Saccharomyces cerevisiae S288C: one gene and its partners. Changing the gene in region 1 together with any one later gene gives a genetic interaction. Each region holds a gene or a part of one and is shown on either strand. Other genes may lie near its edges. The genes, in order: NMD2, PFU1, SRM1 and YVC1.

Region 1 (7,235 bases):
AATAAATATCATCATTTTATGGATTTACCTGAAGATATAGCAGAACTAATGGGGCCGGTACCCGATGGATTTTACGATTACTTCACCAAGCGTTTTCCAAACCTATTAATAGGTGTTTATATGATTGTCAAGGAAAATTTAAGTGACGATCAAATTTTACGTGAATTTTTGTATTCATAACATGTTCATGCCCCTCTGCTTCTTCTTGGTTGATTATTGCATTAATGTTACTTTGATCATTAGTAGTAACCATCCATAATTTTTACGCCCTTGCATAAATGAAAAAAAGTTGTACTTCTTCATGAACCTATACTACTTTTCTCATCCCTACATAAACTACCCGACAGACATTTAATTTTATAAATACATATCTCATAAACATCGAACATCGACATACTACTCCAGTTATTCAACACTGACTTTTTTGGTGGAAAGCTTTCGTTCTGCAATTCTTATGCAAATAAAGGTAAACACACATGCAAAAGCGTAGACTTCATCAAACCAAGAATCTATGACAATGTTTGGGACGGTAAACTTTCCACCCAATAGCTCCTTTAATCTTTGTGATACTTCAAAAGGGAGATGGGACCTAACCATTAGCGTTGTAGCCAAAACGTAGACGCCAGTCAACTCTGACACCACCAGATTTTTTATCAAAGATATTCCTTTTTGTTCCTGAGAATAGTTTCTCTTTTTTCCCTTATAGGAAGAGTTATTGGTGTACTCTGGAAGTACATTAGCAGTGTCATCATTCTGCATGGCGAAAAGTGCAAGAATCTGGAACTTTATGGGCAAAAGGGTCACAACGTAGGAGATGGTGGTATTGACAGCAGAAAGACAGCAAAGAAAGAGAGAAATTGACAAAAATAACGATATCTGTTTTGTTAACGAATCGAGATCGTGCTGGTAATTGAACCTGAAAAACGAAAAATCCAAAATATTTGCTATCGTAATGGCTAAAGGATCGGATGCTGCATTTTCACTAAAATTTTCATAATCGTAGTCATCTGGATATTTGAGCGAGTGGTATATGATATAGGGGATTCTTTTCAGGAAAGTTATTATTAGTTTATGAAGACAGTATATGATAAACCCGACTTCAAAAGCTTTCTTAAAAGTGCGTACCTGAGGGGACTGTTGTAATAATGCTTCCAATTTCCCAAGCTCCAGTTGATACCAGGCGATTTTTTCCATCAACTCTGCTTTAAAAGTTGAGTTTTCTCCGACCTCTTCTTCTAAACTTCTTAATATTTGTACATTTTGTTCAATGTTGTGTTCATAATCTTGGATTTTTTCCTCTATATAGGCGTCTGTTGTCCATAAGAGAGATTTACTGTTATTGTTGCTGTTGTTGATGTTTCTAAAACTGGGGTCTGACATTGGTGTATTACGAAACTTGTGCCAGATGACTAAAAAGTTGTAGTATAAACTAGAAACAGTGGCTAACCCAGATAGGGAAGCCATGACTGTGACGCCTCCGATGGACAATCTAGTTAGAATATTTTTTGTGTACTGGAACGGTCCAATATTTATGTAACTTAACAGCGCAATAAGTGTGGACAAGATTATGCATGTCACTATTATCAACCTATCGATATCGAACTTGTCATTGTAGAATTTATTCAGTAACGATATTATAATGAAAAAGGGCTGAAATAAAATTAGTATGAAGGATAGCATGATTGCAGTCAGAGGCCACACCCAAGTCGTTATGAAAGTAACTTCCTTGTCCATTCCAGCAACCTTAATCTGCCATAGAATAATCTCTATGGTTACTGTATACGTCATCATTGCTAATGAAAAAAGGACTCGCAGTGATTGCAGTACCTTATGTGAGGGTAAAGAATACTCTGTGTAGAATTTATTTATGAAATTACCCATACTAGACACATCCTCATTCGAGCCAACTTCCATTTTGCTTGCCAACGGAATGACATTTTTCTTCGAGGAAGTTGATATAATGTCAAACAAAGACCCTACTTTAAACCAGAGCCTTTCATAGGAGCATTTGTAAGCAAATGCTCCGGATACGGAAAGCACTATAAATACGATAAGTGCCTCCATCCCGTCCACCACTTAGTCTACACTCAATAGTCCTTTCTAGTGCAGGTCCTGGAGGCAACCGCCAGAGTTGAGATCTTTTCCTTTTCTTTCCCTGCTGGTCAATTTTTATTGTTCAGGACTCGGTCATCGCAGATATCGCAATTTTTCACTCGTTTGAGTCTAGACTGTAAAATAAAACCGAATGGTTAAGCTAAAATAGACTCTGTATGACTAAGTCGTTCACTAAAGTTCATTATTTCATGCCTGAATGACCTTTATCTTAATTATGCACCATCATATAGCGTTTCTATGATCACTACGGGATATTATGATATTGTTAGGGGGTTATATTGAATATTTCTTAGGGCATGAGGATGATATTAGGGTTATTAATAGGTTTACAATTATATAATTTATGTGATAATTATCACTTGATACGAATTGATGGAGCCTGCTTCTTTTTTTTTTTTTCACTTTCTTGGCAGTCACTGAAAAACTGCATTCGAATACAGGTTTGAGAAACTAATGAGGCCCATATTACTTTACAATGAACAGTAACAATCAACTTAAATGCTTAAATAATCTAATATTGTATCTGCATTGATAATACATTGGACAGAAATTATGGACGTATGTTTGATTTATCTTACTGTGGCCAGATCGGCCTTTCAGTACTTCTAAGGTTTTATACTAACTTCTTTTATTGATCGTTGTAAACTACGGTAACAATTATGTATCAACAGGATGGACGGAAAAAAGAATTGCATGATTTGAACACCCGAGCTTGGAATGGCGAAGAAGTCTTTCCCCTGAAAAGTAAAAAACTGGATTCCAGTATAAAGAGAAACACTGGCTTTATAAAAAAACTAAAGAAGGGTTTTGTGAAAGGTTCAGAATCTTCATTATTGAAAGATTTAAGTGAGGCGTCCTTGGAAAAGTACCTATCAGAGATAATAGTGACGGTAACAGAATGTCTGCTAAATGTTTTGAATAAAAATGATGACGTAATTGCCGCTGTTGAGATCATAAGTGGACTTCATCAAAGGTTCAATGGCCGATTTACTAGTCCGCTTTTAGGAGCTTTTTTACAAGCTTTTGAGAACCCCTCTGTTGACATTGAATCCGAAAGAGATGAGCTTCAAAGGATAACCAGAGTTAAAGGTAATCTTCGGGTATTTACCGAGCTTTATTTAGTTGGAGTTTTTAGAACATTGGATGATATTGAGTCGAAAGATGCTATTCCAAACTTCCTACAGAAGAAAACTGGGCGAAAGGATCCGTTGTTATTCAGTATTCTCAGAGAGATTCTTAATTATAAGTTCAAATTGGGCTTTACTACCACTATTGCGACCGCATTTATTAAGAAATTTGCACCTTTGTTTCGCGACGATGATAATTCTTGGGATGATTTAATATATGACTCGAAGTTAAAAGGTGCGTTACAGTCTCTGTTTAAGAATTTTATAGACGCCACTTTTGCGAGGGCCACAGAACTGCATAAGAAGGTCAATAAACTGCAAAGAGAACATCAGAAATGCCAAATAAGAACGGGAAAATTGAGAGATGAGTACGTAGAGGAGTACGACAAGTTACTTCCAATATTCATTAGGTTCAAGACATCTGCAATTACTTTGGGAGAATTTTTTAAGTTAGAAATTCCGGAGCTTGAAGGTGCCTCTAATGATGATCTGAAAGAAACAGCTTCTCCAATGATCACGAATCAGATATTGCCACCCAACCAACGATTATGGGAAAATGAAGATACAAGGAAATTTTATGAAATCTTACCAGATATCTCAAAAACAGTAGAAGAATCACAATCTTCTAAAACAGAAAAAGATTCAAACGTTAACTCAAAAAATATCAATCTATTCTTTACGGATTTGGAAATGGCAGATTGTAAAGATATAATCGATGACCTTTCAAATAGATATTGGTCATCATATTTGGACAACAAAGCCACAAGAAATCGAATATTGAAATTTTTCATGGAAACACAAGATTGGAGCAAACTGCCAGTGTATTCCAGATTTATTGCAACAAATAGCAAATATATGCCGGAAATTGTTTCTGAGTTTATTAACTACCTAGACAATGGCTTCAGGAGTCAATTACATTCTAATAAGATTAACGTTAAAAACATCATCTTCTTCAGTGAAATGATTAAATTTCAATTAATACCATCGTTTATGATTTTTCATAAGATTAGAACATTAATCATGTATATGCAAGTTCCAAATAACGTAGAAATTTTGACGGTTTTGTTGGAGCACTCAGGGAAATTTCTGCTAAATAAGCCAGAATATAAGGAATTAATGGAAAAAATGGTCCAACTAATCAAGGATAAAAAAAATGATAGGCAATTGAACATGAACATGAAAAGCGCCTTAGAAAACATAATTACTTTACTTTATCCCCCTTCTGTAAAATCATTAAATGTTACGGTAAAAACAATAACGCCTGAACAACAGTTTTATCGCATATTAATTAGAAGTGAACTAAGTAGCCTAGACTTCAAACACATTGTCAAGTTGGTTCGGAAAGCTCACTGGGACGATGTAGCTATTCAGAAAGTGCTGTTTTCTCTGTTTTCAAAACCACATAAGATTAGCTATCAAAATATTCCCTTATTAACAAAAGTTCTAGGCGGTCTATACAGTTACCGCCGCGATTTCGTCATCAGATGTATAGACCAAGTACTGGAAAACATTGAGCGAGGCTTAGAAATTAACGATTATGGACAAAACATGCATAGAATATCAAATGTCAGATACTTAACTGAAATATTCAACTTTGAAATGATAAAATCCGATGTTTTGTTAGATACTATCTACCACATTATTCGGTTTGGTCATATCAACAATCAACCCAATCCATTTTATTTAAACTACTCAGATCCACCGGATAATTATTTCAGGATTCAACTAGTCACTACAATTCTGTTAAATATCAACAGGACCCCTGCAGCTTTTACTAAGAAATGCAAACTTTTGCTGAGGTTTTTCGAGTATTATACTTTTATTAAAGAACAACCTTTACCCAAGGAAACAGAATTCAGAGTTTCAAGCACATTTAAAAAATATGAGAATATTTTCGGAAACACTAAATTTGAAAGGTCAGAAAATTTGGTAGAAAGTGCCTCAAGGTTGGAAAGTTTACTGAAATCATTAAACGCAATAAAAAGTAAAGACGACAGAGTGAAGGGATCTTCTGCAAGCATTCACAACGGTAAGGAGAGTGCTGTTCCTATCGAGTCAATCACCGAAGATGATGAGGATGAAGATGATGAAAACGACGATGGTGTCGATTTACTAGGAGAAGATGAAGACGCGGAGATAAGTACACCGAACACAGAGTCAGCGCCAGGAAAACATCAGGCAAAGCAAGACGAAAGTGAAGATGAAGACGATGAGGACGATGACGAGGATGATGACGATGACGATGACGATGATGATGATGATGGAGAAGAAGGCGATGAGGATGATGATGAAGATGATGATGATGAGGATGATGATGATGAAGAAGAAGAAGACAGCGACTCTGATTTGGAGTATGGTGGTGATCTTGACGCAGACAGAGATATTGAAATGAAACGAATGTATGAAGAGTACGAGAGAAAACTAAAGGATGAGGAAGAAAGGAAAGCGGAAGAAGAATTGGAAAGGCAATTTCAGAAAATGATGCAAGAATCCATAGACGCAAGGAAAAGCGAAAAGGTTGTTGCCAGTAAAATTCCAGTAATTTCGAAGCCAGTCAGCGTTCAAAAACCTTTATTATTAAAAAAGAGTGAAGAACCTTCTTCAAGCAAGGAGACCTACGAAGAGTTATCCAAGCCAAAGAAGATTGCATTTACGTTCTTGACTAAAAGCGGTAAGAAGACACAATCAAGAATTTTACAATTACCAACGGATGTGAAATTTGTCTCTGATGTCCTTGAAGAAGAAGAGAAACTAAAAACCGAGCGAAACAAGATTAAAAAGATTGTTTTAAAACGTTCTTTCGACTGAGATTCTTTTGCGAATATAGTTCTTTAAATTTTTACTATATATGCCCACTTATGTTTGGCTCTATTAAATGGCTACGTGTTTATATAGTACCGTTTATGACGCTGTATTTTTATTTACACTGCTTTCCAGGAGATTAAAGAGCGGAGTGTTAGTCAACTCTCACGACAACAACAGTTATATCGTCTTCTTTACCACCGCTGTAGTTTTTGCCAGTTAGCTTAGAAATCTCTTGCGCAAAAACACTGGGGTAATTGGGGTCCTTGCTTAAACTGACAACATTGTCCACAAACTTCTGGGATAATAGCTGTAACTCATCGTTTGTTCTCGCAGCGTTATCCTTCAGAAAAAGCTCAATATCATCTGTGGCAATATTATCGGTTACACCATCGGTAGCCAATATAATAATATCCTTTTTTTTCAATTGGAAGCTATATTCATCAGCGTCTCTGGGGGTGTTTAAAATATACTTGCTACCCCTTCTTTCGGCCTCTTTCAACATTTCTTCTGGAATGATTGACAATTGGTAAGGAGCATTAAATCCAACAGTTTGAAACTTTGTCTGGAATACAAGTTTAGAATCTCTGAAGACTCCACACCAAGAATCACCCAAGTTGGCAACTTCCAATTTTCCATTAGATGGGAAGTGAGCCACAATGGCTGTTGTCCCACCAACCTTCACTACTTTCTCATCCCTAATTTTTGCGTATGCAGCACCAATAATTTTCTTTGGCGTTAAAAGCGTTTCTTTGGATGAATTTTCTGCTAAAGCAGTGCTTATTTCGTCCATTTTTTTACACAATTCTCTTGAGATGGCGCTGGAGTCATACCCATGCTCAGCCCATCCTCCAACACCGTCTGCGACACCGGCAAAAATATCGTGAACGTTGTTTGATGTAACAAAATAGTTGTCTTCTCCTGTAGGTGATCTAATAGAATCCTTTAGTTTTTGGTATATCAGATCGTCTCTGTCTTTTGGTTGGAAAGCTACCGCGGTTTTATAGGTGAACGGGCCTGATTGGCTACCTGAACTATACGCATCACCATGACTGTTGTTCGATTGATACCCACTCTTGGCACTTGAGTAAAAAGTCCTCTTGGAAAAGCTGATGATTTGACTGCAGGATCCTATGATATGAGAAAAGTTAGTCTCTGAGTCGATTAGCATTTGTCCCGCAAATTTAGCAA
Region 2 (5,437 bases), on another chromosome or scaffold:
AATTCTTCTAGTCTGGCTTGAAGATCCTCAGCTTCTTTTTTCATTTCGGTTAAAGCTCGAACCTTCCTTTGACTGTCTGGCTTCAAGACATTAGGACCTTGTGAGAGTTCATCCCCGTCTACAGTGGCCGATGTAGAGTTATTTTTTCTTGCTTGCCTACCACCAACACCCAAATATTCGTCTCTTCTTCCTTGCCAATCAGTCAAAGTCCCATTACCATCCCAATGATCTAATTTATCGTATATTAAATCCCCTACATTGTTTATTTTATAACGTGGAATAATGTGTGTATGCAAGTGGGGTACCGACTGTCCGGCCTCAGGTCCATCTTGGATGGCAACGTTGATAGAGTCAGCCTTATATTGCCACTTAATAAATCTATGTATTAACTGTAAAGTCTTGAAATAATCTTGAGATTCAGGCATGGTCAGATCTGATAAGTTTAAAACCGTAGTTCTCAGTGGAACGATCAGTACATGTCCGGGTACAATTGGTTTCAAGTTTACCAATGCATACGTATATTTTGACTTCTGTAAAGAAGCAGAGATTATAAGGTCTCCATATAGTTAGTAACGCAATGGTGCGAATGGGGTACAAAAAAACATATGAGAGTGCATACATAGAAAACTTGTTCAGTTACAAGAAACTTGCTGAAATATATTGGCTTATTCATGCTTTTAGGTTTCTTTGTTTTGCTTAAGATCATTCTGAGCCCAAGATAGATCAATGGAGCTTCCTTTTTTTCTTCGCTTCTTACAATTGAGCAGAAAAGAAGATTCGACCATATCTTGAGAAACGTATAAACCAGGAAAATTACACATTCTAATTGGTGTCAATGGCAAAATATATGCAAGTTTGCATGTAAAATATTTTTTTTAGGCCGGATAAAATAATTCTTCCTAATAGTGTCTAAAAGAAAACACTGACTCTTATAAAACAAACAATGAACATTTTAATAATTAAGATATAAACTGCCATCTTGATCTTCCAAAGAGACTACCAAATCAGCGACTTCATCGCTTTTCATGTTCCACCCCAGCTTGGGAGAAACACAAATATTCTTTAGGCAGGGCAGCCTGGATTCCAGTATGGCTATAGTCAAGTCATCGGGATGAATCTTAGAAGCTAATCCCAAGGATCCGCTGCATTCTAAGTACAATGTTTTAAGAGGCCTATCATATTCCACCAATTTACTTAGCATGAATTCAGAAAAGCACCACTTAGAACAGTAATCAACCATGAGCTGCAAAGAAATTAAATTAGCACAGTACGTGAAGACATGGTCTAGGGAATTTTCTGCCAGAGATGGCATCGGATAATGAAAAAATAAATGCTTTAAATTATCACCGATCTGTGATAACAACGAATAAATAGACAATTCCGTTATTTGAGGACAATAAGAGAATTCTAAAGTTGTAATAGTTGTTGGCCATTTCGTATCAATCACAAATTCATTTGTTATACCTCCACTCAATTTCAAGTACCTGAGATTCTGTGGCCATTGAATATCTTGGAACCCTTGGCAGTCAATCGACGATCTGGGAAAAGATAAATGCGTTAATTTAGTGAAATTTTTAATGGCAGAAAATAACTCCTTCAGCTTAACTGTTTCCGATACTAAACCCAAGTCTAAAAATTTCAAATCATGACACGATTTCAATGAAATCAAAGGCGCGTAACCAAAGCTTGTCTGTGGTGCGATGAATTTAGTTAGGTTAGAACAGCATCGTCGTAAAAGCTTGGAGACAAATGAATTTCTACCACTTTGTAAAATTGTAGACAAGTTCAACTCAAAAACATAGTGTCCTAAATTCTTCTTTTTATTTATGATTATTGTATCAACAAACCCGTTGAAATTCTTACTTGTTAACGCTGGTGCATAATAAAGCTTTGGTAGACACATGGCGTACCAGTTTCTGCAAACTAGTAAGTAGTTCATATTTATACCAGTCGTAGTTTTTTTTCCATTAGCAGTTTTATTTAATTTTTCTTCTTTCTCTGGTATATCAAGATAATGAATTATTCTATGCTGTATCTCCCATGGCAAAACCATCTTTACTGATACTGAATGCATCCTCGCTTCCTCACTCTCTATGACTTTGCCATTTTTTTCTCCTTTGGAGGACGATGTCGATGATGACGATGGCGACTGCTTACGTCCTTTTTTATCCTTTTTTTCATTACTCAGTCGTGTCAATTTCACTATAGTATCATTGGTTTCATCATAGTAATAAGACCCCTGTGGAGTCTCAATGAGTTCTGCATCCTCCGGTATAGTGATAGTGAATTCTTTAGCCTTATTATCATTTCTTGTAGAGGAGAAACCCTCTCCCGCCACGTACTTCCTGTAAGGAGCCTTGATTTTCTTGGGTCGTGATTTGTTTGCCATTACTGAGTACTGTGGTTGATATGATTATGTGTTAGAGCTGTTGCACATGTTTGTCGATGTACAAATCTTGACGATGCCGTCATATTACTCTCAATACTAGACACATCTTGTATTGACAACCCTTACCCCTCATGAAGAGGTAACCCGGCCGCAGGGCTTTAACAATAAAATAGAGACTATCATTCAACAATTACACAGTAGAAAAAAGTCAGAAGATTACTAATCTCGATCTTAAGTCTATTAGTCAATTAAATGTGGCCTAGGATTCAACTAAAAATATAGTAGTAGTGAAAAAACAAATGTTCCAACCGAGGATCGAACTCGGGACCTTTGCCGTGTGAAGGCAACGTGATAGCCGCTACACTATTGGAACAATATTACGGATGACAGCTTAGGATTCATAAAGAACTAATAAAGGTGTGGCAATAAAAATGGTGCAGCAAGTCTCAACTTTACTGCTTCTTATAGTTACTTCCTGTCGTTTTCATCACACTAACCCTTTGTTTCATTGTGCTCCCCTTCCCTTCCTTTCAATATTGCTTCCTACATCGGTCACTCTTACTTTGGTAATGAAGTAATGAAGAAAGGAAAAATAGAAAATCGAATACTAAAAATGTTATTATTTAAGGAGAATAAGAACGTAGACACTTAAGGGCGATAGTGTTTGAACAGAAAAAAATTAACTTACAAAACATGAAGGACTTGAGATTACAGGGGCCCTACAGAAAGTACATTCCCTATAATATTTTCCAACAATGTGGAATTGGTCACTTAAAGACGCTTGATTATATTTTCGCGTTTTTGATTGTTATTACCAATTTCACATTAATATGGAAATCGCACTCTTCTTCATTCTGGAACCGACCATGGGACAATAATAGTGAACAAGAACTTTCCCAATTAATTCAGTTTTACCTAGACAAGGCTTTTTACATCCATGAATTGCCACCATTTACAATACAGTTCTACTCCATTATTCGAAGATTAAAGATCGCAGAAAATTTAAGATACGTTTCTTTGTTTTTGAATTCATCGACTTTAGGTTTTCTTTTCCTGATAACAAGGAGAATCAATTGCTCTCGTTTAATTTCAGCAACAGGTTTGCTGATATTATCCAACTGGGAAACTTTCAGAAATGAGGGCACTATTATATCATTTGACAGTTTAGAATGGTGTCTGTTCTCAGTAGTAATTTACAGTTTTATAAGCATTTCAATTGCAAAACTGGGAACTACGAATTGGTTTGCTAATGTGATTACATTATCTATTTCTTTAGGGCTGGCAATCTCTTCTAAATTTATTGGAATTGTCACTTGGGCCTTCGTAATTCTTTCTTTTGTACGTCAATTTGATAGACTGATAAGCGACGTTAAAGTTACGACCATCCAAATAATAAAATTTGTCATTCTCTGTCTATTATTCGTTTTGATTATCCCTGGTTCCATCTTCATAATAAGTTATTCGAACTTACTTTCGAATTTTAAGACAGACACGCCACAATTTTCAAAATATATGAGCACATATTTCAAGTCCTATTTAAGAGGCCCTCAAGTACAACCGAGTCGATTGTACTATGGATCAACGATCACATTACGTCATTTAGATTCTATGGTCGGATATCTTGCTTCTCACGATATTTCGTATCCATCAGATGTTGACGAACAGTTAGTAGCGTTATCATTTGAAGAATTCGCGGCAGACAATGAATGGTTAATAGAACATCCTACATTAAATTTGAGTTTTTCTGAGGTATACCATGCTGATCAATTGATACCTGTAGAATTTGGTCAAAGTATAAAACTAAGACACAAATCTACTGGAAAATTATTGAGAGCCAGCACTGCTAAACCTCCCATCAGCGAGCAGGACTATGACTTTCAAATTTCATGCACGAAAGATTCAAACTACGAAGGAGGAATGGATGAGAGATGGGATGTTCTCCTGATTAAAGATGAAATCAACAATGATAAAAAGGATAACGCAGATGATAAATACATTAAACCGCTTCAATCAGAGATACGCTTTTACAATAACGGCCAGAGATGTGGGCTATTGGGCCATGATCTTCGGTTACCTGAATGGGGCCGCTTTGAGCAAGAAGTCCTATGTATGGAGTACCCAGTAATACCAAGAACCACTTTTCTAATAGACTCAGTACAACTACCAGTCGATTTCCAAGTCCCAATGATAGAATATTATATCGGCAAAATAAGTTCTTCAGCAGAATTCAATCATACCTTATCTTGGTCACAATTTCTTTATCTTTTCAAAGAATATATTTTCAAACAATACAAGTACAATTACTATATTAAATACGGTAAAAATAAGGTCACTTTTGAAGATGCGTTCGCCGTGGAAAAATGGCCAATTACGTTAGACACAGACTCTCCAGTTTGGTTTAATTTTGCATGGTATGGATCCTTACTCTCGATGATCATTTTCATGTGCGTGCAATGTAAGAGAATGATATCTTGGAATCCGTGGACAACTGCTGAACCTTCCTTTTCTATCAAATGGGAGGTCTACAATGAATTTGGCTGGGAGTGCATTGTCGGTTGGTTTTTACATTTTTACATCTTCACAATGAGTCCACACTTCAACTTGGGGAAAAAACTGTACTTCCAAAGTTTTTTCTTTAGTGTATTGTGTCTTTTAGAATCGTTAGATTGCCTTGCAAAGTAACTCGTAGAAAGATTTTCTCCATTATGATTTTTCTCCCATTGCTTCAATAATTCTCCGGTACAAATAGAGTAGCACAATTATTTATAAGAATAACATACATACGCTTAACTCTGCCATATAACTATAGTACATTTTCTGTCCTCTGTTCGCAAATTTCTTTGTAAAACTTAAGTTTATGTGCTCTTTTTTGAGTTTGCAATGCCATCTACAAAATCTTCAATTAAAGAATCAACGTGCCTTAAAAGTTTCTCCTTCTTTTTGATGGCCTCAATTTTTTCGTCTTCCACTTCAACTAGCTTTTTCTGCAACATATCAATCTTCCTTAATTGCTCTTCAGCTGAAACGTCAACACCAGGTAACGAGTCA
Region 3 (5,239 bases), on another chromosome or scaffold:
AAGCTTTTTTACTCTACTCCATGCTATGCATTCATTGTTGATAGTTGCGCTGTTATTTCTCAGGGGCAAGTTGAGCTAAAGCAACACTTGTTTATTGTTTATTGTTTATTGTTTCTTATTCGTGATGTTGGGTTCACTAAAGTACAGTGTAGTGGCAGGGGATATTGGTAAGTAAGAACTGTTTCGTAGTTTTTTTTATTGGCGAAAGTAGGCTTAAAAAACCAACTAGTATTACCGTGCTGCGCCAAGCCATTTTTCAAAAATCTAAAAGTTTATGTCCTATTGGGTCTAGAGCCAGAAATGTTGAATGACAGTTACTCTTTTTGATAATTAGTTCTAGTACCACTTTATTCACTGCCCGTATATCTCGTATAAACAAGTAATCTTGTTCTATATTTACGCTGCATTATTGAATGTGGGAAGAAAAGGAAAGGAAAATAAGCCATGAGCGAAAGAAAAAGCAAATCACAGTAAAAACAACTCACTACATTTCCGCCTCCCCCCCTTCAAAGAAATTCCCAAGAACTTAACGGATTTGTTTATATTAGCAAAGCTAATCTTCAGAGAAAAGACTGCAGCCTTGGTTCTGCAAAGGGCCTCAATAAAAAAAAAGCGCTGCGCTACTCTACAGTGTTCTATTTTTTATTCGCGAAAATGATGCAACACCCAGTCACGATACATTTGATTAGTTAGATTCTGTGGAGAATGCACGCCACACTGACTATGCAAATGCAAAGACATTAAAATTGTACATGCTTTTCAGCGGTGCCTTATATGTCAGACCATCAATATAGTTCTTTTAGGGGAGAGTCAGCGGTAATTTATGTGCATATCTGGTTTACCTACCGTGCTTGCTTATCTTCCTCACAAGACTTTCTGTTGTTTTTATGGTCTGTATGAGCAATCTCCGGTATGCATTTTCCATAATGCTGTTGAAGAAAGTTAAAATACGATAGGTAATTTGTCGCGGTTAGAGAGAGCAATGAATTTTTCCGTGCTAACATGTTCACCGGAAGTTTATCCTTTGCTTTGCCTGTTGCTGGTGTCTTGGCACATTTTTAATTTTTCTCCGTTTTTCTCAAAAAATCCGATTAAATTCCTTAGAAAGTTCATTACTAGAGAAACGTGCAGAAGAGGAAGAACCTGAAGGGCTGGACGAGCGGATGGATTACATAATACTTACTCAGTGTTGATTTCATCCGCCTGCTAGTTGTCGTCTGGTAACTCCTCGCACTTATGCCCCTGTACTCAATGTAAAGGCCCAAGAAAAATTAAAAAAAAAAAAAAAAAAAAAAAAAAATAAACATGAGAATTTGTCGGTATCGGATAATCATATCGTTTTCTCGTTTTTCTTTGATTTATGTTATATTTTACAATTTATACTGAGGTGCATTATGTCGATTTTCTTTTATTTATCTTTGTACTACTACCTTAATCATCCATTTCATCCGCTCTCTTTTCTGCGTCCTCATCAGACAGCTTAACACCACCAGACACGGAAAATTGGCCTCCACACCCGACTAAAATGATGTTATGATCCTGTGTAGCAGTATTCTTGATTCTGGTTGGAACTTCAGTGTCGTCCTCAAAAGGGCCTAATCCAACGGCGTAGGTTTCACCAAAACCCCAAGAATAGGCAATGCCATTTTGAGCTACCGCGACTGAATGGTGAGACCCCGCCGCAACGCTTTTGAACTTCGGAACATTATTCAACTTAGTTGGAAGTGGCACGGCACGTGCTTTTCCATGAACATCTTTGTAAGTATATTCGGGTAAATTGTCTTTTGGGATACCAACTTCAAACATGTCTAGTCTACCACACGAATACAAATCGCCATCTTGGGATAGGATCAATGAGTGATGTTCACCAGCAGCAATGCTTCTGATAACAACGTTATCAGGTAGCGCTAGTCTTTTTGGCTTTGTAACAAGCGCACCGTCTTCCACATCCTCTGAAACACCACATTGACCAAACTGATTCAACCCCCAGCTTACTAACTTGTTGTCTTTTGTTAAAGCAAAGCAATGGTTTTCGCCAGATGCGATGTATTTTACATGTCTTAACCCAAATGGTCTGGGATCCAAAGTCTTTAAACGGAACCTTTCCATAACTTTTCTTCCTAATTGGTTTTGCTGACCGTTACCCCAGGCGAACACCATACCCTCTTCATCTAAGAAAAGTATGTGATCCTTACCGGGAGCTAATTGGACAATATTGTACTTAGAGAATGTAGGCACTTTCCATGGAGTTTTTTGAATTTTAATTTTATCTTGGTAAAACCCTAGGATACCTTCATTGCAACGGAAAGTACCCCATGCGTATACCTCGCCATTGCTGAACAGGGCGCAACTCATATTGTCTGTAGCTGCCAATTGCACGACCTTGTGTCCCTCCGCTAAGGGAGGAAATGACTCTCTTGGGATTTTAGCGGGCGTAGATTCCAATTCGTTCAAATCACCATCTTCGTCATCACTTGAGTCATCGGCGTCCATGTCCTTGAGTTGTTCCTTGGCGTTGGAAGTATCTCTGCCCAACGCACCCACGTCATTGCAACCCCAGGACCATACATTGCTTTCTTCATCAAGGGCTAAGGTGTGCATACCACCGACTGCAAAAGAAATGATCTTGGCCTCATCGCGAGGTAAAAATGGGTTTAACCTTGGTCTTTTAACTTCCTTATTTTTGGCTAGTGGACCCAACCCAAGCTCACACATAGAACCAGTACCCCAGCAAAATATATCCAATGGTTGGACACTTAAGTACATATGCTTGTAGTCTTCTTGAGCGTTTATGATATGAGAAGCATGAGTTTTAGACATTTTCTTTGCTCTATGAGCGCCAGACGCGTCTCCATTGGTGGCGACTGTTCTTTTGACCATTTTAAACTTTTATATGACAACTTTTTAAGTTTCTGGATCCAGGATTTGACTTAAAGAGGATGTCTTGATGACTTTTAATATTCTCGAGATCGGTGATTTTATTCATCCTGCCTTGCCTCTCCCGTGCTTTTTTGTTTTTTTGAAATTTTATTTGTGCGGGTAATGAATATTGTTTGTCCTTCGAGAGGTCCTCGCGAAACCCTGCTACTTTTAGCCGCCCAACGATTGAAAAAGAAGGGAATTGCTAGATAGCTATCTCTGTCGGAAGCAAACAATATATATATATATATATATGTAACTCTTGATATCGGTGCTCTCTACTTTAGAGTATGCGGTGTTCCTCTGTCCATTAAAAGCAAGTGTCCTTTTCTTTAGAGTCTCGGATTATACTATCTTGGAAGTGAGTTTTTAAAGAACCAGAATGGCAGGACACTGGAATACAGATTGGCTTTATATCGTTACTGCCGAGGGAAGACTCTCATAATATCTAAATTTTCTGTTCCGATTCTCTTACTTGCAAATATTTTACACTCTGTCAGGAATAATCAGTAATTGCCTCATTGAATTATCTTAGGTAGTTCTCTTTCAACTGCTATTGTATTTCAATCTTGGGGACTACAAAACGTTGTAGCAATTGTTGACGATGGTTCCTACCTGAAATATGGCCTTAAGAATTTACCGCGAGCAACGGGAGGGATAATGTCCAACACGGCTTTTTATTATTATTATTTTCCGAACCTATAAATCCATCAGTATTCCTTTCAAGAGTTTTTCCGTCTCTGGCTGAAGGCTCATTTCCATGATGGGGTCACAATTATTATCGCACACAATTTTGGTGGCGTTGAAATTGATGCCGGAATTTGCCCCAGTGCTATAGGTGTTTTACTTAACACATAATTTCTGAACCCATAATAAATGACACGTAAATTTCCCCTTTTTATTTAGTGGAACTGAACCTGTTTTGCCATTAAGAAGCAAATACCTTCCTGTTGCTTGATTTGCCCTGTTTGTCTTATGTGTTGAAGAGAAATTAGAATATTATGTGGCGTATCAATGCCAAAGTATTATATAATGTGTTGAAACGAGCGGTATTTAATAGTAACATGAGTTACTATGGTAACGATCTAAATGTTTAAATCCTATACGATGAAGTATGGAAGCACTATTACAAAAGGAAATGTAAATGAGCATGTCAGAAAGTACTGAATTTGAGTTAAGAGTCTATTAATTGAATGAGATCTGAAAGTCACATATAAGAGCAATATGAGTCGTCACATTAAATGTATGAAGCTGCCGGAATCACCATTATATTAGCCATATATAATAATGAAACAATCGGCATGTGGTTTATACCTCTGTTATATAAGTACAAAAAGATCCATATTCATTCTTCATTAATACAACCTGTTAACTTTTAACTATCAACATAAAGAGCTTAGCTGTCTTAGTTAGCTTCGCTTTTTATCATAACTACACCTCCTTTAGGTAAAAGAGAAGTACCTCTAACTTACACTATTTCTTTCGTGGAAAGAAGCTGCACTAAAACAGGTTTTAAAACAGACCGATTTATTTACCATAGGATACCTACATATTTTTGTCCCCTCTACATATCGTATCGCCGAGCATTCATAGAAGTTGAACTACATCCTTATTTCAATTATGTGCAGTACGAATGCATTCTTTTTGCCAGGAGACAAACCACAAATTTACATAACTGCAAATCGTACTGTTTTGTGGGCATTTGGGTTCACATCAAGCAAGACGTACTCTCTTATTAGAGGCATAGAACGAACGCTTTTACAATTCATTTTCAATTCCTCTTCTGTTTCTCGACCTCGTTCTATGACAACTCGCAACAAAAAAAATGATTTCTTCCTTCTCTTGGTCGGGTTTGGAAAGTTGTGCGAGAAGGCGAAATTTCGGAAAAAATGCCATCTCCTAGAATCGAACCAGGGTTTCATCGGCCACAACGATGTGTACTAACCACTATACTAAGATGGCTAATTTCTTTATGAACTTTGTTGTATCTCAAAATGAGATATGTCAGTATGACAATACGTCATCCTAAACGTTCATAAAACACATATGAAACAACCTTATAACAAAACGAACAACATGAGATAAAACCCGTCCTTCCCTAGCTGAACTACCAAAAGTATAAATGCCTGAACAATTAGTTTAGATCCGAGATTCCGCGCTTCCACCACTTAATATGATTCATATTTTATATAATATATAAGATAAGTAACATTCCGTGAATTAATCTGATAAACTGTTTTGACAACTGGTTACTTCCCTAAGACCGTTTATATTAGGATTGTCAAGACACTCCGGTATTACTCGAGCCCGTAATACAACA
Region 4 (6,137 bases), on another chromosome or scaffold:
TTACGACGATCTGCAATAACTGCTTCGTAGTCTGAATTCCACTTCAATGTACCAGTGTCAGTTGCCTTACCAGTGGTTAACACTAGTTTAGCATTCAAGTAAACTTCAACGTAGGCAGTAACCTTCTGTTCTTCTTCAGCAAAACGAGAACCTTCTTCGACCACAACTTTAGCAATACCAGTATTCAAATCCGGTAGTTCCTCCACAGATCCATCCGGCAACTTTTTCTCTTCTAAAGTTGGGAAGAATCTTAAATCAAAAGTCAATTCCCCAACCGGTTTAGAGTTTCTTAAAAACTGAGCTTTCAAGTTTCTTTGCGTGGTTTTATCATGTAAAGTATTCAAGTTGTACTGAATTCTGCCTAGGACTTTATCCTTCAATTTTGCACGCTTATCATAAACACTAATGGTCAAGGGGTCAGTGAATGAGTTTAACAAGACGTACAGAGTTTCGTCCCAAACGGGGTTCAATGTGTCTCTTACGGTTCTTGTCTTGGCAATAGATATATCGTTAAATTCGAAAGATAAGTAAGGGTCGATTGATTCGTTCAATATCGAAGAGGTACGTTTTAGCCCCTTTGCATTTTTGACAGTTATTTCTAATATACCAATGGACAAGTTGGAACCAGATAAGAGTTGTGGAATGTTCAATTGTAAAGAAAATGGAGGTAACAAGATTGGACCCATATATTTCTTGGCCATCTTTTGTATTAGTGTCATAAGGCCTGGGATAGCTAAAATTTCCCAATTGAAGATGGAACGGCCGAATAAGGTAGCAACAAAATCAAAATCAGGAACCTTCAGTAGCTGGATATTAACAGTTTCGACATGAGGGAAGGGAGTCATCAATTTGAATTTCACTCTAGCATGAGCCTTGAAAGCAATGTCTGACACAGAAACAGGGATGGTGATACCAAAAATTTTGGCCTTAACAACCGCTAATTCATTAACGTAATTTCTGACTTGCTTAGCACTCATGTCGCATAAATCGTGAGGAGTAAAAGAAATACCCCAGTCCATCACAACAACATCGGATGCAGTGTTTTGGAAAGTCTTCACCAAATCAACTCTGGGGGGTTTAACACCAAGTGTCAACTCATCGATCCATAGTTGAGTAATAAATTTGGGAATCGCCTCATTAGTAGCCATTTGTTCATTAGCTTGCTGAACGATTAATTGACTAACGGAAGGTTCTAAAATGGGCCAGTACTTATCCAAAAAGGCATTCAACCATTCTAGGGATTCATAGTCGTTTTCCACTTTCTGCACCGTGAACTCTTTCTGGACTAACTCTCTTATGGAACCTCTGTATTTTTTAGCAGAGGTTCTATACAACAATGAAGTGATAACGATGACAAAAAAGGCCGACCCCATTGAAAACTTATAATGACCAAGTGCAAATGATGCCACGCCTCCGATAAAGAAAATGGCTACCGAATGATACCAGTCACCGTAAAGGCTGTCCGGTATGATGTTATCTAAGAAGGTTTCTCTAGTCATATCCATCAATTCATCATCTAAAGTTAATTCGTCTTTGTCTTCCCAGCCACCAATCTGTTTCCAGCCGACATAAGAAGCTTCATGGATACTTCTCTTGAAGCTTTCATCACTAGCATGTGCCGCCTTCTCAGATGACACGCTTTTACTGGATTCGGTTTCCTCTTTCGTCTTTGGAGGTTCTAACTTATCTATCCCATTTATGTTAGCTACTTGGGCTGTTTCGGGCTTCTTTGGTGCTGTTACCCCAGTATCTTCTTTGGCCATATTGTATGTACCACGCAATTGAAGTTTTCAGAATGCACTAGCTATCTTTTTTTATCTTAGCTATTCTTCTTCAATTATCCTACTTATTCTTCAGCAAAAAAAAAATAATAAGCTAAGACAATGCTATACAAGTCAATTACCAGCCAGTAAGTCCAAATTGGAGTAGCCAATGCTATTAGTTGATAATTTTGACGGCCGATTATACTATTCCAATTGCAGCAACATCCCTGTCCCTTAGCTTTTTGAGGGGCCTTTTGTTATAATTTTTCATGCAGCATTCCGGTCGCCAAAGTTGTTATCACTTCTAACGTAAATCGTTTTCTCGTTATGTCCGCTATTTTAGAATGAGAATAATGGATAAAATTGGCCTAAAAAGGGAGCGAGTATAACGTTACTGAGATACAATTGTACATTTTGCCATGGAAATGAGCCAACTAGTCTAATGAGATTTTCAATGCTTTATTTCTTTTTTTAGTTTCTCATTTTATTGTTTCTCTAGTTATTAGTCCTTTGGTTATTTTTATGTCACCACCTCTTGTCACATGACCATTTTTGTTACTTGCTTGGTTTTACAATGATTTATACATTCTTGGGCCTCTCTTGACATATTTTTATCGTCATAATAAGTTCTTCATTCGTTCTCTAAAACAACAAAGTTAGACTCCATGGCCAAGTTGGTTAAGGCGTGCGACTGTTAATCGCAAGATCGTGAGTTCAACCCTCACTGGGGTCGTTAATTTTTTAATTTTTCTCCTACACTGTTGCTATGTCGGAGTTATCTCATAAGAGCTGAAAATATGTGGTAAATTTAGTCAGTATCCTTCGAGGATCAGCTAGAGCCTATTCAATGCAATTGTCATTAATCAGTGGCTTGGTAAGGCAATAGAATTCAGTTATAAAATATAATATTACTAGAACAGGAGCATTATGGTATCAGCCAACGGCGACTTGCACTTGCCAATTTCTAACGAACAGTGCATGCCGGAAAACAATGGATCTCTTGGATTTGAGGCCCCCACTCCGAGACAGATTCTCAGGGTTACGTTAAATTTGAAATACTTAATTGATAAGGTCGTACCTATTGTTTACGATCCCAATGATATTGTTTGTGACCATTCTGAGATTTTATCTCCAAAAGTTGTGAAGCTGGCTTATGAAGCATGTGGCGGGAACCCTAAAGACAAGGCCAACAAAAGAAAATATCAATCTGTCATTATTTTTTCACTTCTTAAAGTTTGTGAGTGGTATTCCATATTGGCCACTATGGAAGTGCACAATGCCAAACTTTACGAAACCAGAAATTTAGCCTCACAACAGTTATGTAAATTGTTAATTGAAAGGGAGGAGACAAGAGACCTGCAGTTTCTTTTCATGCAGTTACTGCTGCGTCGGTACGTAATCAACGAGAACGATGAAGATCAAGAACCGTTGAATGCCTTGGAACTTGCCACAGATATGCACTGTACTACAGTGATAGGATCGAGTGGATTTCAGCGTTGTTTAAAATGGATATGGAGAGGATGGATAGTCCAAAATGGCTTGGATCCCACAACTTTTATCAAGGACGATTCACTGGCGGAAGTGTCATTGATCTCTCATTTCAACCCCGTAAGATTAAAGGCGCCTGTATACCAAAATTATTTGCAGATGATCTTCTCATTTTTGTTTCTAGGGCTTTATACCTTGGTGGTTAATGGTAAGGACTCTGAGAGAGTCCAATCTTTCGATTTGTTAGAAAGCATATTTTATGTTTTCAATACTGGTTTCATCTTGGATGAGCTCACTAAGCTTTATTATATTGGTTATGCGCACCTATCGTTTTGGAATTTATTTAATGATACCACATATTTGATAATCACGTTTGCTATGGGGTTCCGTGCAATGAGCGTAACGCCCCTTAATGCAAAATACTCTTCAGAAGATTGGGATAAAATATCATATAGAGTCTTATCCTGTGCAGCACCATTTGTGTGGTCGAGACTCCTACTATACCTTGAATCACAAAGGTTTATTGGGATTATGTTGGTTATCCTAAAACATATGATGAAAGAATCCATTGTATTTTTCTTCCTTCTATTCTTAATAATGATAGGATTCACTCAAGGTTTCTTAGGTTTGGATTCCGCAGATGGTAAGAGAGATATCACCGGACCCATCCTGGGTAATTTAACAATCACCGTTTTGGGTCTTGGTAGTTTTGATGTTTTCGAAGAATTCGCTCCCCCATATGCGGCAATACTGTATTATGGTTACTATTTTATTGTTTCGGTTATCCTTTTGAATATATTAATTGCTTTGTATTCGACTGCGTACCAAAAAGTTATTGACAATGCAGATGACGAGTACATGGCTTTGATGTCACAAAAGACGTTGAGATACATTAGAGCACCTGATGAAGATGTCTATGTTTCTCCATTGAACTTAATTGAAGTGTTCATGACACCTATCTTTCGTATTCTTCCACCGAAGCGTGCTAAAGATTTGAGCTATACTGTAATGACAATAGTGTACAGCCCATTTTTGTTGCTTATTTCTGTTAAAGAAACTCGGGAGGCTAGAAGGATAAAATATAACAGGATGAAAAGGTTAAACGATGATGCCAATGAATATGATACTCCATGGGATTTGACAGATGGCTACTTGGATGATGATGACGGTTTGTTTTCTGATAACCGAAATTCTGGCATGAGAGCCACCCAGTTAAAGAATTCCCGTTCGCTAAAACTGCAAAGAACAGCAGAGCAGGAAGATGTCCATTTTAAAGTCCCTAAGAAGTGGTATAAAAACGTTAAAAAATGCAGTCCCTCCTTCGAACAGTATGATAACGATGACACTGAAGATGATGCTGGTGAAGATAAAGATGAAGTCAAAGAGCTCACTAAGAAAGTGGAAAACTTGACAGCTGTAATTACCGATCTACTCGAAAAATTAGACATAAAGGATAAGAAAGAGTAAACGACATGTGTTCAAATACTGCTTAATTAATTTCTCAGAAATCCATATATATATATATATATTGCTCCTCATTGCAACTTTGTAAATTTAATGTTCCTTTAATTTATCATTATTTACAATATTAACTAATCCATCTCCCGATTTTCGGCATAAAATAAGTTTATATTTTGGTCTACATGAAAACAAAAGTTTAACTAAACTAACGTGTACAAACCACTTTGAAACGTATATAAAGGTCTAATAAAAACGACTGGCGTTTTGAAAGATAATATAATGATCTAATGCAGTTAAAAAATTTACAAATTATAAGAAGAAAAGAAAAACAACGATTACGGTAAAAAATGAAAACTCCCTCTCCTTTCTAGGTACGATAAATTATGACTTTCATCTTTCCCGTTTTGAAGATCTATTTATCTCAATTTGCCCAGACTTTTTTTTTATATATATTTATTTTCCCCTCTCTAACAACTGCAAGCACTGTTTGCGCTGGTCCCATCATTAGCAGCGTTCAAATCCACTCTTTGATTGTTCGACTCACGTTCGTTACTTGCACTATTTTGCTCTTCAGCCGTCTTCAGTGGTATCTTTTCACCGATTCCCAAAAATACATCGTTAACATTCTCTCCTGTCTTTGCACTTGTTTCAAAGAACAACAAGCCCTTTTCTTCCGCTAGCTTTTCACCTTCTTCCCTTGCGACTTTTCTTTCCCCACCTTCTTGCAGCATATCGATCTTGTTACCAACTAACGCAATGATGATATCCTTTGATGCCTGTTCATGTAATTCCTTAACCCAGTGGCGCGCTTTAATAAAGGATTGTGGTTTTGTAACGTCGTATACTACAAGAGCAGCTTGTGCGTTTCTATAGTACATAGGTGCTAAAGATGCAAATCTCTCTTGCCCAGCAGTGTCCCATATTTCAAACTTAACAGTATGTTCATTTATAGTAACTCTTTGAGTGAGGAATGCTGCACCAATGGTGGGCTCCTTATTTTCGGCAAAATCATTAGATACAAACCTTAGGACTATTGACGATTTACCAACTGCTGCCTCACCCAACAGTACCAACTTTATGGAAGTGACTGATGTGTTCATTTTTTTGTGTGATAAAAGGGATATTTTTTTATAGCTTAGATAAGTCGACGATCTTGCTTTTTATTTTTAAAATCGTTGCCACTTTTATAAGATAAGCTGCTCGTATTTTCACCTCACTTCTCTTTCTTTGTCTTTTCGGGGATATTGTTTTAGCAAAAAGCCCCATAATGCAAACCGAGAAAACCAAAAAAAAAAAAAACACGTATGAGGTGACAAGAAACTAGATAATCAGCAGACTAATATCTATAAAATAAATCCTCTGGTATATACCTACCTCAGCATAAGTTTATATCGTCATAATCTAGGTTTTGGCTTTGTTGTTGCC

What was found.
Region 2: mutations in NMD2 (region 1) and PFU1 together harm fitness more than expected from each alone (negative genetic interaction), as found in Saccharomyces cerevisiae (2 studies listed by BioGRID).
Region 3: mutations in NMD2 (region 1) and SRM1 together harm fitness less than expected from each alone (positive genetic interaction), as found in Saccharomyces cerevisiae (2 studies listed by BioGRID).
Region 4: mutations in NMD2 (region 1) and YVC1 together harm fitness more than expected from each alone (negative genetic interaction), as found in Saccharomyces cerevisiae (2 studies listed by BioGRID).

The regions. Positions count from the first base shown.
Region 1 is NC_001140.6:251,189-258,423, reverse strand, and holds NMD2 (Nmd2p), read left to right. Parts: upstream 1-2,667; coding exon 2,668-2,673; intron 2,674-2,786; coding exon 2,787-6,050; downstream 6,051-7,235. Other genes in the region: bifunctional endoribonuclease/protein kinase IRE1, read left to right, coding at 1-180; YHR078W (uncharacterized protein), read right to left, coding at 406-2,064; type 2C protein phosphatase PTC7, read right to left, coding at 6,199-7,175. UniProt on the Saccharomyces cerevisiae protein: Involved in nonsense-mediated decay of mRNAs containing premature stop codons. It interacts, via its C-terminus, with NAM7/UPF1.
Region 2 is NC_001136.10:1,072,783-1,078,219, forward strand, and holds PFU1 (Pfu1p), read right to left. Parts: upstream 2,390-5,437; coding exon 953-2,389; downstream 1-952. Other genes in the region: HNT2 (bis(5'-adenosyl)-triphosphatase), read right to left, coding at 1-530, 620-706; PMT7 (putative dolichyl-phosphate-mannose--protein mannosyltransferase), read left to right, coding at 3,083-5,071; SRB7 (Srb7p), read right to left, coding at 5,245-5,437. UniProt on the Saccharomyces cerevisiae protein: Substrate recognition component of a SCF (SKP1-CUL1-F-box protein) E3 ubiquitin-protein ligase complex which mediates the ubiquitination and subsequent proteasomal degradation of target proteins. Probably recognizes and binds to phosphorylated target proteins.
Region 3 is NC_001139.9:319,423-324,661, reverse strand, and holds SRM1 (Ran guanyl-nucleotide exchange factor), read right to left. Parts: upstream 2,881-5,239; coding exon 1,432-2,880; downstream 1-1,431. UniProt on the Saccharomyces cerevisiae protein: Guanine nucleotide exchange factor that promotes the exchange of GSP1/GSP2-bound GDP by GTP and controls RNA metabolism and transport. Involved in yeast pheromone response pathway and in mRNA metabolism.
Region 4 is NC_001147.6:485,017-491,153, forward strand, and holds YVC1 (Yvc1p), read left to right. Parts: upstream 1-2,690; coding exon 2,691-4,718; downstream 4,719-6,137. Other genes in the region: TCB1 (tricalbin), read right to left, coding at 1-1,763; Rab family GTPase VPS21, read right to left, coding at 5,180-5,812; type 2C protein phosphatase PTC5, read right to left, coding at 6,107-6,137. UniProt on the Saccharomyces cerevisiae protein: Required for release of calcium ions from the vacuole in response to hyperosmotic shock.